2 linked regions of the Arabidopsis thaliana genome follow. The protein of the gene in region 2 purifies or fractionates together with the protein of the main gene of each other region. This does not show direct contact. Each region holds a gene or a part of one and is shown on either strand. Other genes may lie near its edges. The genes, in order: PMH1 and DEL1.

What was found.
Region 1: the proteins of DEL1 (region 2) and PMH1 purify together in Arabidopsis thaliana (affinity purification with mass spectrometry, with the first as the bait; one large-scale study listed by BioGRID). This does not show direct contact.

The regions. Positions count from the first base shown.
Region 1 is NC_003074.8:7,884,988-7,891,311, reverse strand, and holds PMH1 (putative mitochondrial RNA helicase 1), read right to left. Parts: upstream 4,037-6,324; 5' UTR 3,931-4,036; coding exon 3,502-3,930; intron 3,402-3,501; coding exon 3,274-3,401; intron 3,186-3,273; coding exon 2,774-3,185; intron 2,641-2,773; coding exon 2,542-2,640; intron 2,440-2,541; coding exon 2,215-2,439; intron 2,134-2,214; coding exon 1,972-2,133; intron 1,884-1,971; coding exon 1,506-1,883; 3' UTR 1,159-1,505; downstream 1-1,158. Other genes in the region: NRPB5 (Eukaryotic rpb5 RNA polymerase subunit family protein), read left to right, coding at 1-51, 142-267; RPS10 (ribosomal protein S10), read right to left, coding at 4,699-5,082, 5,234-5,575; AT3G22290 (Endoplasmic reticulum vesicle transporter protein), read right to left, coding at 6,052-6,119, 6,204-6,323.
Region 2 is NC_003074.8:17,781,399-17,788,038, forward strand, and holds DEL1 (DP-E2F-like 1), read left to right. Parts: upstream 1-1,932; 5' UTR 1,933-2,242; coding exon 2,243-2,376; intron 2,377-2,453; coding exon 2,454-2,521; intron 2,522-2,610; coding exon 2,611-2,663; intron 2,664-2,747; coding exon 2,748-2,825; intron 2,826-2,935; coding exon 2,936-2,989; intron 2,990-3,080; coding exon 3,081-3,192; intron 3,193-3,354; coding exon 3,355-3,422; intron 3,423-3,513; coding exon 3,514-3,589; intron 3,590-3,696; coding exon 3,697-3,758; intron 3,759-3,855; coding exon 3,856-4,261; coding exon of another isoform or gene 4,262-4,290; exon of another isoform or gene 4,291-4,324; intron 4,325-4,347; coding exon 4,348-4,448; 3' UTR 4,449-4,762; downstream 4,763-6,640. Other genes in the region: APC8 (anaphase-promoting complex subunit 8), read right to left, coding at 306-618, 1,082-1,167; ALDH10A9 (aldehyde dehydrogenase 10A9), read right to left, coding at 4,892-4,982, 5,132-5,238, 5,338-5,398, 5,486-5,637, 5,725-5,802, 5,934-6,047, 6,491-6,567. UniProt on the Arabidopsis thaliana protein: Inhibitor of E2F-dependent activation of gene expression. Binds specifically the E2 recognition site without interacting with DP proteins and prevents transcription activation by E2F/DP heterodimers.

The sequences.
Region 1 (6,324 bases), 9.9 Mb from region 2:
ACTGAAGAGAAGAAAACTTTACTGGAGAGATACACAGTGAAGGAGACACAGGTTAGTAGTATATAGAAACTTTGTTTGAATTCTTGGTGATGAAATTTTTGTTGTGTTATTAAATGTTTGGAACTTTGTGGGTGTTGTTAGCTTCCAAGGATCCAAGTGACTGATCCAATCGCAAGATACTTTGGACTAAAACGTGGGCAAGTCGTGAAGATCATTCGTCCGAGTGAAACGGCTGGTCGTTATGTTACCTATCGTTATGTTGTATAAGCCAAAGCAAAAGGCTTTTGTGGATTGTAATGCGAATTGAACGCTGAGAGTTGTGAAACATAAGAGTAATGCTTTTGTACTAAACCAAACTGATGACTGTGTTTTATTTTTGTTTGTCCGATAGGAGAAATTAAAGCTTGAAACAACTTATTTGTATTAGTTTTCTATCCAAAAACTTGCAAGATCCGATTCCGACTTGTTTGTATTTGTTCATCCCAACAAATGCCATATTTTGTTAATAATCTGATTCATCACTTGTTTGTCGATAATCCCCATTCCTTAACACCCTAAAAAGAAAAAAATCGTAAATATCAATTTTTAAAATGTTCAAAACTGATACTTCTTCCAGAGTATTACTGACTTCAGATCAGCTGTGGATGAGTGTTGACGGTTGTACAGGCGCCGTTCTTGAGTTTTTTTCAAAATGTCTCCAAATGGAGAAGCTGGGGGATGGTGTTGAGATGGCTACCATTGATTTGCATGCCCTTGTGGGTGGTGTTGACTGTTTTACTCATCTCAATGATTCTTATACCACCACCTGAACGCCTTTCAACGTTTATGGGATCTCAGCTTTGTAACCCTCAGAATCACCAAGTATGTGTACAAGAACCCGTTCTTGGGCCTATAAGACTGGATGAAACTAAATCTGGATTCACTGCAAAGGGGATCACACCCAAGGAGCTTGGTATTATTATGCTAGCTATGCAGAGCCAAGCCTTTTCGTTCAGCAGCTAGTTGCATGCTCTTGCTATGCAGTGCATCAAGTTTTGCGAAATGAAGGCTAATTAGTTGTGAAACATAAGAGTAATGCTTTTTGTAGTGAACAATAATTGTCGACTGTGTTTTATTTTTGTTGGTCAGATATGAGAATTAAAGCTTAAAACAATTTTTCTTGTGTATGGTTCTACCAAAAACTTGCAAGATCTAACAAGAAATCAAAACTAGGGATGATTTGAATCTTTGATCAACCACATTATTTCCTTTTCTCACAATCTAACAAGATTCATAAATGGAAGTGGCGAAGTAAGGGAAACACATTTCACTCAAATTGAGAAATAAAAATGAATTAGAGGATATGAAATAATGATATAACTTATGTTGGTTTATGAGACAAGAAGTAGCTACAGAATTTATATATAGCTCGACTCCTTGTAAACTACTCAACTCGAGATACCGAGTTCTCTCCTAAGTCAACTCCATTATTGCTGAGTCGGGTCAAAACCAACACAACACTTCTCTCAGTAAGATCTTTTACCATCGTTTGATCCAAACCCACCAAAGCTGCTCCTTCCACTTGACTGAGAAGAACGGTCTGAACCAAATCCTCCTGAAGAACCGCCTGAACCAAAGCTTCCGAAACCAGATGAGCGGTCTGAACCACCAGAGTAACGGCTGCTTGATCCCCCTGAACCTCCATAACTACCACCACCACCACCTGAACGGCCACTGCTGCCACCATAACCTCCATAACTACCACCACCTGAACGGCCACTGCTGCTACCGTAACTACCATACCCACCACCGCCTGATCGACCTCCTCCGAACGACCCACCAGATCTAGCACCTACTCCTTCAAACATGCTTGCGCTTCCTCTTTCCACAGCAATGCTAGGCAGCTGAATTCAAAACCAAATAGATTCAGAACTGTTTGTTACCCAAGCTATTCATACAAAAGATACAAAGGTGGTAAAGAAAGATATTAACCTCATTGAATCTGCTTCCGACTTCTTTCTCAATCATTTTAACAGCCCTGGTTTGATCTTGACCGTGGATGAGAATCGCGCTTCCTTTCTTTCCAGCACGACCAGTTCGCCCCGTTCGGTGAACAAACGTCTCCGTGTTATTAGGAAGCTCATAATGAATTACCTGTACACAAAGCACAATACAGGTTAATAAAATGAGAAACAGAACTAGTTAAGCGCAAGAAAAGGTATTGTTTTCACTCACTAAATCGACATTAGGTACATCAAGTCCACGGGCAGCAACATCAGTTGCAACAAGAATACTGAAATTCCCATCCCTGAAACCAGCAAGTGTTCTTTCTCTCTGAGCTTGAGATATGTCACCGTGTAAAGCTTCACATTTATAGCTTTTTGCCAATCCAAATGCAAGGCGATCTGCATCACGTTTTGTTTGGGTAAAGACAATGCATTTTCCTCCTTTGCCATGTTCCTGTAAAGGAGAAGATGTTATAAAATCACGACTGGAAACAAAAATGAAGAATCAAAACAAGATACAGATAATTGGCTTAAAAGCAAAGTAAAGAAAACATACCTTTACAAGAGGACCAATGATGGATGCTCTTCCATAAGAATCTGCAGCGATAGAATACATAGTAATCCCATCTGCAAGTTTCTGATCTGAATCTCCAACCTAAATTACATAAGAGTACATGTGTCATTAAAAAATGTCACTTCATTAACTACACTGCTACAGCCAAGATCAATATTTGCAATTTGTACAGCAATTCTAAGATATAAACACAAGCAGGTATAAGACTACTCACAAGATCAATTGTCAAAGGATTGTTCAGGTACTTCTTGGTGAGAGATCTGATCCAACTTGGCATTGTTGCAGAAAACATCATACTCTGACGCTTCGCTGGCAACTTCTGCAATATTATTTCAACATCTTCCGCAAATCCAACTTGAAGCATCTGATCAGCTTCATCAAGAACCACAAACTGAACCTCTGATAGATTCAAAGCTCCCCTTTTCATCAGATCAATGATACGACCAGGAGTTCCAACCGCCACATCAATACCATAGTTCAGCTCCCTCATTTGTTGCCCGATTGGTGTACCTCCATAGAGACAAATAGTATCCAAACTTGGAGCAGATTCCCTGAACTCTTTCTCAACCTGACGAGCAAGCTCCCTCGTCGGTGCCAAAACCAAGCACTGAGGATTCTTCCCACGACTGTCACATCAAAAGACAACATAAGAACCAAAGGAAGTGCAAATCTCTCAATCACAAATGATCGTTATATATAACAGTAAACACAAACCCATGTTTAGCGTTGAATTTGATGATTTTGTCAATAATAGGAATCCCAAAAGCAAGTGTCTTTCCCGTTCCAGTCCTTGCACGGCCAATCATATCACGACCCTCCATCGCTGGCTCCAACACAGCTTTCTATTCAACCAAACACAAACATCAAAAACTCAGTTAAAAAAATCTAAACTTTTAATTGATCTCTATAACCAAATGGAACAGAGAAGAAGATCATATATACCTGAATAGGAAAGAGTTTCTCAATACCCCTACCCTTCAAAGCTTTAACAATCTCCGGAGATATACCAAGATCAGCTATCGCAAGCCCATCACCACCACCGCTGCTACCAACACTCTCCGAATCTCCAATCCCTCCATCGTTCTCATAAGAAGGAGCATACTCTTGAGCCGCGAATCCCGCAGAAGAAACAATCGACGATCTAAACTCCGACGGTACAGATTTAACATGAAAGTCTCTCACTTTAACACCAAAAGGGCTCGAATTCGAAGGGAGAGACTTGACATTAGTAGCTCCATTTGCTAGATCGGAGACTGTGGCGGCGGCTGGAGCAAGGTTATGAAATAGAGCTGCGTTAATGGAGGTCACCGAAGCGGCGAGAGTACGCCTTGACGTACCAAGGATAGATCGGCGAAGTACTGTGCTAATCATTTTCAGATTTCAGAGAGTGTGATGGATTCTGGTGAAGATGAAATGTGAAACCCCAGAAATGAGAATTAGGGTTTTAGGGAGACGGCAAAAGGGTTTAGAGATTTAAGAAGAAGAATCAAAGGCGGGTATAAAGGGAACTTTGTTATAATCACCTGCGGGTGAGTGTATGGTATGTTCCTACACGTGCAAGCTTGTGTAAGGAAACAGAGTTGATTATTATTTTTTGCTTGAGCCCAAAGGTGTTCTTGAATGTGAAGCAAAGAGTTAATGAGTTCTGTTTTTTGTAACTTTGTGTAGTGTGGCAAATTGGCAATAGCTCAGGTTCGGAATCAGATCTATCAAATTAACCTATACCATATGTCTCAAATCATTAGTGATTATGTACAATGTAAAAGTCTTAGAATTGCCTAATGAATGAATACACCTAAAATGTGAGCTCTTGGATCCTTAAAGTTCGACATCATTCCATGGTCGGGTCAAAGGTTTCTATAACTTCTCAAAATGACACCTTTAGCAGTCTAAATGTGTCTCAATCCTTGGTGATGTATAAAGACTTTGATTGGCTAATGAATAAATGGAAAGCACTGTAACTGAAACTCAATTGTATCTTTCAAAATCGTCCAAAAACACATGTTTATACTAAGCAAGAAAATAACTACTTGATCTGATGTGAAGCAAAGCTGGTTTCATGGATCCGTAAGGTTCGAAATTATTGCATAGTACCCGGTTGGGTCTTGAAACTTCTACAAAATGATGTCTTTAGCCATCTCAGTAAGCATTGGTGGTGGAGCCATTGATGTTGCCTAACACTTGAGTCATATCCAAACGGGTCTTGCAATGGAACTGGAGTTCATATTGAGCTCCAAGAATACGATAACGTTTTAACCAAAACAGCTTCTTGCTCAACTCATGACTCTGAGCTTTGATGACAAGAAACCGTTTCTTGAACCTCATCTCAAACTGTTCTCTAGACTTCTTATCGACGTGAGGCGATCTTAGCACCGTGTACAGAGTTCGTGTATCGGGCATTGCGACTTTACGAGTGTGAGGAGGAAGACACCAAGCTTGCTTTTCCGGGTTAACAAAAGACCGAATCGCTATACAAATCTTTGTTCCTTTTATCTTTGATGTGCTTTCTTCTGCTGCCTCTTTCTACAATTCAACCCCAAACACACAACAACAACAACATAAACAACAGTTCTAAATCATTTCAATGAATTTCACATTCCGATTCCTATTCGAATTTGAATCTGATGAAGCACTTTGAATAATATTCTATGAATTTGAACAAAAATGCATATACCTGGAGAGCGATCTCCTTCCTACTCAATGGTCTGACATTGTCTGGAGAAATTTTAATCTTAGCTTTCTTAATCTCGTTTTTGCGATCCTTTGTGACAGTGGCGTAACCTTGTGACGCGATTCCTGCGGGAACAATCATCGACGGCTCAGATCTAATGTGGATGTTCCTCGCTCTGATGCCAAACGAGTTAGGAGACGACGCGAGAGTGAATCGAGAGCTGACGGAAGCTCCGGTGGTGGCTGGAGTGAGATTGTGCGAAATACACGAATTGAAGGAGGCTAACGCGGCGGAGAGAGTCTGCCTCGACGGGAGTGAAGATCGGCGCAATACTCCGGCGATCATTTTCAGATTCAACGGTGAGACGAAGAAATGACGACGAGAGATTGAAGGAAATCTGAAAAACCCCAAATTAGGGTTTCAGTGAAAGAGTAAGCGAAATCAGAGAGAATTGTGAGGACAGGATCACCTGTGACGAGTGTACGTTATCTTACGGTGAGCTACAGTATAATTTTGTTTTTTTACTGAGACAAGTGAAAAGATGCAAAAATGTTAAAATCCCAGGAAGCAAGGTGAATAAAAATTACAAATTAACTCTACTAGTTTAACCAGAGATAATCAGAGTAATACATAAGAGAGACTCAAAAAAAAACTATATCCATGGATTCTAGAGTTTCTGAGTAATGTAATCATCAATCCTGGAATCTCTGGTGGGTGTTGTTGTCTGAAGAAGGCAGATACAAGTTTTGGGATTTGAGAGATTCTTCTTCCTTCCTTTGGTTTTTTTTGTTTCTCATTGTTTTGTCTCTGTTTCAGCTAGTTTACGCTCTAGTACTCGGCTTCTTGTTGAAAGATTCAATAAAGCGGAACATCCAACGATCTAACATTCCTGTTTTAAGGTATGAGATAAACTATATTAGGCAAAAGATTTTGAAAGATTGAGTATTGGAGGCAAGACTGAGATGGGACTAACCTGTCAAAGCAAATGTACCGCCTAATACAGCGCAAAGACGAGTGATTAAGTGGAGAAAACTACGGCGTTCTTCCTTGATGGTCACAGTGATAGGTGAAAGATCATATAAGAAGTAAACAGC
Region 2 (6,640 bases):
TCCAATTAAGTTTCACTCATTTATTTACTTTTGTATATCAGTTGCATACCCTCATATCTCTTGTATCATAGAACATAACTGTGACTGGACATCAACAAAATTGTGAATCAGAGGCTCAGTCCTATAAGTTTGTAATAACGTCCATATATTGCATTTATTTGAAGGCAGCCTACTGGCCGAGGCTAAAAGAACACTCAAAAGCATTTTGGAGCCAACTTTTAAAAAGTTCATTCCATCACCCTATTCTGATAAGATATAAAAGCTCTAGCTAAATAGAAAATAGGAGATAGAGAAACAGAACATACCAGATAAAGCGCATAGTAACGCAAGAACAGTGATTTCTTGCTCACTTGGTCACGAAGCATATGGGAGGCCCGTCTATACTCTCGACAATCAAAATAGGACTTTGCTAAAAGGTAAATGTCACCATCAATCGCTTCATCTTCTTCCGGGAGAGGAGTAGCTGCTTGAGAGAAGCCAACGGAAGGTAACGGTGTTGAAATAGATTCATTGGTGCTGAACCTTCTCCGGATGCTAGAGCTTCCTCGCTGAAACCTCGTATTCGCAGGTGTAAAATTAGACGGGTCTTGCTCTATCCCCACAAGCTGCTCTCCTGCCCTGCAATGATGAAAGCAAAGGAGATATCAAATATGGAACTGACTAATAGTTCACCACCATTGAACTACAATACGAGTACTAAAAACTGAAACTTTAACTCATAATTCACAAATTAGTGTCGAGCTCAAACATATCGAAAGATTGAACCGGAGATCAGAAGTTCCCATCGAAAGAACACATTTTTTCAATTAGTGTCGAGCTCAAACATATCATAACACAAAACCCACATGTCGAATCATCTGAATTGGAATGTATCCAACACCAAATTCGCAACAAAAGTGAATTCGAATCAACGAATCTGCTTAACCAAATTTGTTTACAATTAGCCCAGGATACAAAAAAATTAGTAAAACCCATAAAGGATAGTGAAAAAATCGATTTTTAATCGAACCAGAGCAGTAGCGAGCTAGAGATTGCAACAATGGGAGAGGTTGAATAAGATTAGGGTTTTGAGAAAACGAACCACTTTGCGGCGGAGTATAAACAGCGGTCGCTAAGCTGTCGAATAGCCGCACGTATTTCGTTTCGGCAACACTCTTTAGAGACCATAGCAGAAGCAGAAACTGAGAGTTTAACTTTAAGTATTCAAAAAAGAATCGAAGAATCTCTTCTTCGTCGTGGAGAGAGATTTCAGAAACATTTGCTCCCTCCATCTTAATTATTTTGAAATTTACAGAGAGATCGTGTGTATTGGGCCCATTGATTAACTTTTGGGTTTCAAAATAGGCCCATGAAACTAACATACACACACACACAAAAACTCTTTACACAACTAATTTTAATATCATATCAATTTTGTCACTTTGTATTAATTTCTGTTAGGTATCAATGAATTATTGAAAAAGTGTAAAAATAAAATAAGAATGCAATTTTTTTTTTTTTGTTTTGTCAACAACTTTAAATTAATTGGTTTAGCTCAAATGAGTAAGACCAAAGGTATGCAAAACTATTATAGAAAAAAAAATCTTAGTTGGACAAAATAACCTTTTGTTTTGGTCAATAGAAATTTTTAATGGTAAGACTATAATTTAGTCAAAGATAGACCCTGATTTTGCTTATGCAAGTAGTTAAACACTATCATGAATCTACCATTTTAAGGGCATTACTCTTTACAAGATTACAAATCAAAAGATTTAATCTTTCCAAAACCAAACAAACCATACCAAACCAAAAACAAATTCAGACCAAATCACTTTTAAATCCTACAAAACCAAAATCCCCTTACAACTTTACTTTTTGAGTTCAAGTAAAAAGATAGATATCCAAAATAGATCTTGTTACTATAATATTGATTGAAAATGTATTATTTTGGTTAATGTAATCTAATTTTGGAAAAGAAAAATGAAAAAGTTGAACAGAATCCTGAAAATATTGTAAGAAATTTTCTAAACCGAAAAAACAAAAAGACAAAAACCAAAAAATTGCGATCTGAACCGAGCACAAAACCGTAAAGGTTTCAGCTTTACCAAAATTTAGAGGAGTGTGTAAATGTTACGGAGAAGGAGGAGCCAAAAAATTCAAATTGGCGCTCAAGTATCTTGGGAAATTCCCCCTCTCTCTTTTTAGGAAATCCCTCCAAAATACAATATCAAATTCTCAATCGCAGACATCGTTTGCGTCAACCATGTCAGATCTATCGCCAGAAAGATTCAAACTTGCCGTTACTTCTCCTTCTTCCATACCGGAATCTTCTTCGGCTTTACAATTACACCATTCCTATAGTCGCAAACAGAAATCTCTCGGACTTCTTTGTACCAAGTTAGTGCCTTTTTACTAAACCCATTTTATTTATTTGTTGTTGAATTTGTTCTGATTAGTGTTCTTCGTAAACTCAGTTTCTTAGCTTTGTATAATCGAGAAGGGATTGAAATGGTTGGGCTTGATGATGCTGCCTCGAAATTAGGTATTGCCCACTTTGTGTTTGTGATTTTTATTTTCATTTCTGATTTTACATCTTAATTTGTTGATTGGGGTTTTTGGGGTTTATTTCAGGAGTGGAGAGACGAAGAATCTATGATATTGTTAATGTTCTGGAGAGTGTTGGGGTGAGACTTGTTTCTCCACTACTTTGTTTTTTTTCAGAATCCAGAAGTGTTATGTTTGCTTAATTCGAGTTTTGTCTAATTTAGGTTTTAACAAGAAGAGCAAAGAATCAGTATACGTGGAAAGGGTTTTCCGCAATTCCAGGAGCATTGAAGGAGCTACAAGTGAGTCTTTTCATTTGTTTTGTATTCGGATTCAATCCCATTCAATCCCAATTGTGAAGAAATGTAGCGATTTGATTTGCATATTCTCATAGGAAGTGTTCTTGATGTAGGAAGAGGGGGTTAAGGACACTTTTCATCGTTTCTATGTCAATGAGAATGTTAAAGTAAGTCATTTGGATTTGGTTTCTTTTGATATACTTGTGTCTTTAGTTTGTTGTCTTCATACTTCTAATGCTTAAAGTTTCATACTTTCAGGGATCTGATGATGAGGATGATGATGAAGAGTCTTCTCAGCCTCACTCTAGTAGCCAGACTGATAGTTCAAAACCTGGTTCTCTTCCCCAATCTTCAGATCCCTCCAAAATAGGTACTGTTTCATTTTGTGCGTGTAGTACTTATTGTGTTCGGGTTTAGTGCCATTGCAAAGTAGTTAAGTGATTTACCCTCTTGGTAACTCTATATGTGGGATATGAATTATGAGATGCAATGTAGATATCCTAACATTTTGTTGGTTGGTTATGTATGACAGATAACCGACGAGAGAAATCTTTAGGATTGCTTACTCAGAACTTTATCAAACTCTTTATTTGCTCTGAAGTAAGTGAGAAGTTCAAAGATTCGTTTTTTGAACTAAAGAGTTATTCACTAAGTTACTAAAGATTTGTTTTTTATGTGTTCAACTGTTTAGGCTATTAGGATCATCTCCCTTGATGACGCTGCAAAATTACTGCTTGGTGATGCCCACAATACATCAATAATGCGAAGTAATTATCTTCGTCTTGTGACCTGAAAAGTCTTTTCTTTTATGTTAACATCCTCGGTTGAGACAAATCGATCTGTGTTTGTTGACACATTGATTACTTTTATGCAGCTAAAGTGAGGCGGCTTTATGATATAGCAAATGTCTTGTCGTCAATGAATCTCATAGAGAAGGTAAGTCAAAGTTATCAATAGCTACAACAGTTGTGAACCATCTATGATTTCAAGCTGTGATTTAAGTCTTACTAGTTTCTGTATTCTCTGGTGGCAGACTCACACCTTAGATTCTAGGAAACCAGCTTTCAAGTGGTTAGGGTACAATGGTGAGCCTACTTTCACACTGAGCAGCGATTTGTTGCAATTGGAGTCAAGAAAAAGAGCTTTCGGAACTGATATTACAAACGTCAATGTTAAGAGAAGCAAATCATCATCTTCGTCCCAAGAAAACGCTACAGAGAGAAGGCTAAAGATGAAAAAGCACTCAACACCAGAGAGTTCTTATAACAAAAGCTTTGATGTTCATGAATCAAGACATGGATCAAGAGGAGGTTACCATTTTGGACCTTTTGCACCAGGCACTGGTACATATCCAACTGCTGGTTTAGAGGATAACTCTAGGAGAGCTTTTGATGTTGAGAATCTGGATTCTGATTACCGTCCCTCTTACCAAAACCAAGGTGCATATATTTTATTCACATCCATTTGATATCAAACTTGTCAAAATATTGCTATGAAATTAACTCTGTTTCTGAACAAATTTCAGTTTTGAAAGACCTCTTTTCCCATTACATGGATGCTTGGAAGACATGGTTCAGCGAAGTCACCCAGGAGAATCCATTACCTAATACATCACAACACCGTTAGATCTTCTTTTTCTTCTTCTTCTTCTTCTTCTTCTTCTTCTTCTTCTTCTTCTCTTACCTGTGAACATCAATCATCATTCGTGTAGAGAGCTTCAAGAGTCATTTCTTTTGATCAATGTGGTTTAGTTTCTCCACACAATTGTAACTGCAAGAATCCGACATTAATTCACAGATCGCATACCCTCTTTGCTTTCTGAAGTTTACTGTAGGCTGTAACTTTTGTATGTTACATATAAGAGCATTCATCTTTCGCCAGTTTTTTGCTACTTTTGTATGGCATGTTGTTTTGAGAAAAACAAAAAGAAATATCATCTCATCTTATTTTTCATTTTTTTCAAGAATTTAAAGTAGCAATACCATTTCTCTTACAGAAGGGTCTCTTGCTTTATTGGTATATTCTCATGAGTACATGTTTTAAGGAAATATCAGGAACTAGTGTTTGTCTCAGAGCTTGGAAGGAGGTTTGTACCATCCCCATGGTTCATCAGAGATATACTGAGTCACCTGCTTCACACTCAAGTAGTTCTCAAGTCCCCTGCGACGAAGAAAATATGTTTCAATTCAAATTTTGTTGGTAATCTATTACGGTTTAAGTTACTATGGACACAATTCCATCTAGTTGGAGAGTGTCTTTTTCTAATGGTTTGATAATCTTAATACTTATAGCTAACGAAAGAGACTAACCATTCTCCCAATTCACGGCCAAATCCACTGCGTTTGGTTCCACCCCATGGAGCTTGGCAGAAGCATGGCTGAGAGCAGTTGACCCACACTATTCCCGCCTGGAAAGCCTGAAACACACAATGATTACGATTCATAAAACTTTAGAGATTAAGTTCAATCATGAGGTTATTGATTGTTATTGTTGATAGTAAAAGTTAGATACACACCTTACTAACACGATCACACCGCTCCAGATCATTTGATAATACTGCGCCTGCTAATCCATATCTGCAAATACAAATAAAGTCAGGCATATGATCTAACACGTCATCAGTGGAGTTCTACTTCAAGATAAGAAGAGAAATCTACACTCACTGAGAGTCATTTGCAAGCTGAATTGCCTCATCCTCGGTGGAGAATGTTTTCACACACAGAGCAGGACCAAAGACTTCCTCTCTCCAGATTTCCATTGAAGTAGTCACATTTGAAACAATCGCAGGTTCAACAAAGTATCCCTTCTTTAAATGCTGCAGAACATAAATAAAATATTGTAAGTGCTACGGGCTCTAGATAGTATTTGGCACATACATAGAAGATTAGTCAATATAATGTACCTCAGGACGAACTCCTCCACAAAGAACAGTTGCACCTTCATTCCTAGCGTTTGAGACAAACTTTAGAACTCTCTCGTACTGCACAGGAGGATAAATATGTAAGACTTGACTAGAAATCTTTCGTCATTAACCCAAATTGATAGATAAGAGGGTTTTGGAGGATTGAGGTGTTTATTCTTGAGAATGTCAATTCTGTTTAGCAATTTAACCTGTCCTTTACTGACAACAGGACCAAGCCTACAGCCTTCTTCAAAAGGATCTGAAATCTTAATGTTCTTGGTCCACTTTACCAGCTTGTCCAAAAACTCGTCAGCAATCCTTTCCTGACATTTCACCAGATTCTTTCATGAAAACAACAGTACACAAGAAGTATAGTAAAGCTTCGCTATCCTACTTTTATCAAGGGTTCCCAAGGTCCTACGACAACTGATACTTATCAATCTATCCGAATTGCTGATGACCAGTCTTACAGATAAACATATACTGAAACTCTGTACCTTTGCATCGGTGGTTTCATGTAAAAGATAAGTTATATATTCTACTTGTTTTATGACTAGAGTAGCCTACATAATTATAACTTAATTTCCAAAGGTAACCTTTAATTTTACAACATATAATTGTGTTAACGGATAACACATAACTTGTTTTATATGTGTTAACGGATAACACATAACTTGTTTTATATGTGTTAACGGATAACACATATCATGAACAGTTCGGTGCAGAATTTAAAATCAGAGGTACTGTAGATTATAGGCTCACTTACATGCACAAGAAGTCGAGATGTGGCACTACAAATCTGCCCATTCGTCCAGAAACAACCAAACATAGTCCATTCCACAGCTGTTTAGAGCAAAATATTAGTCACAAATTAAACCAGCATTTTAGAATACAAATATATAGCATAGTTTTCTTA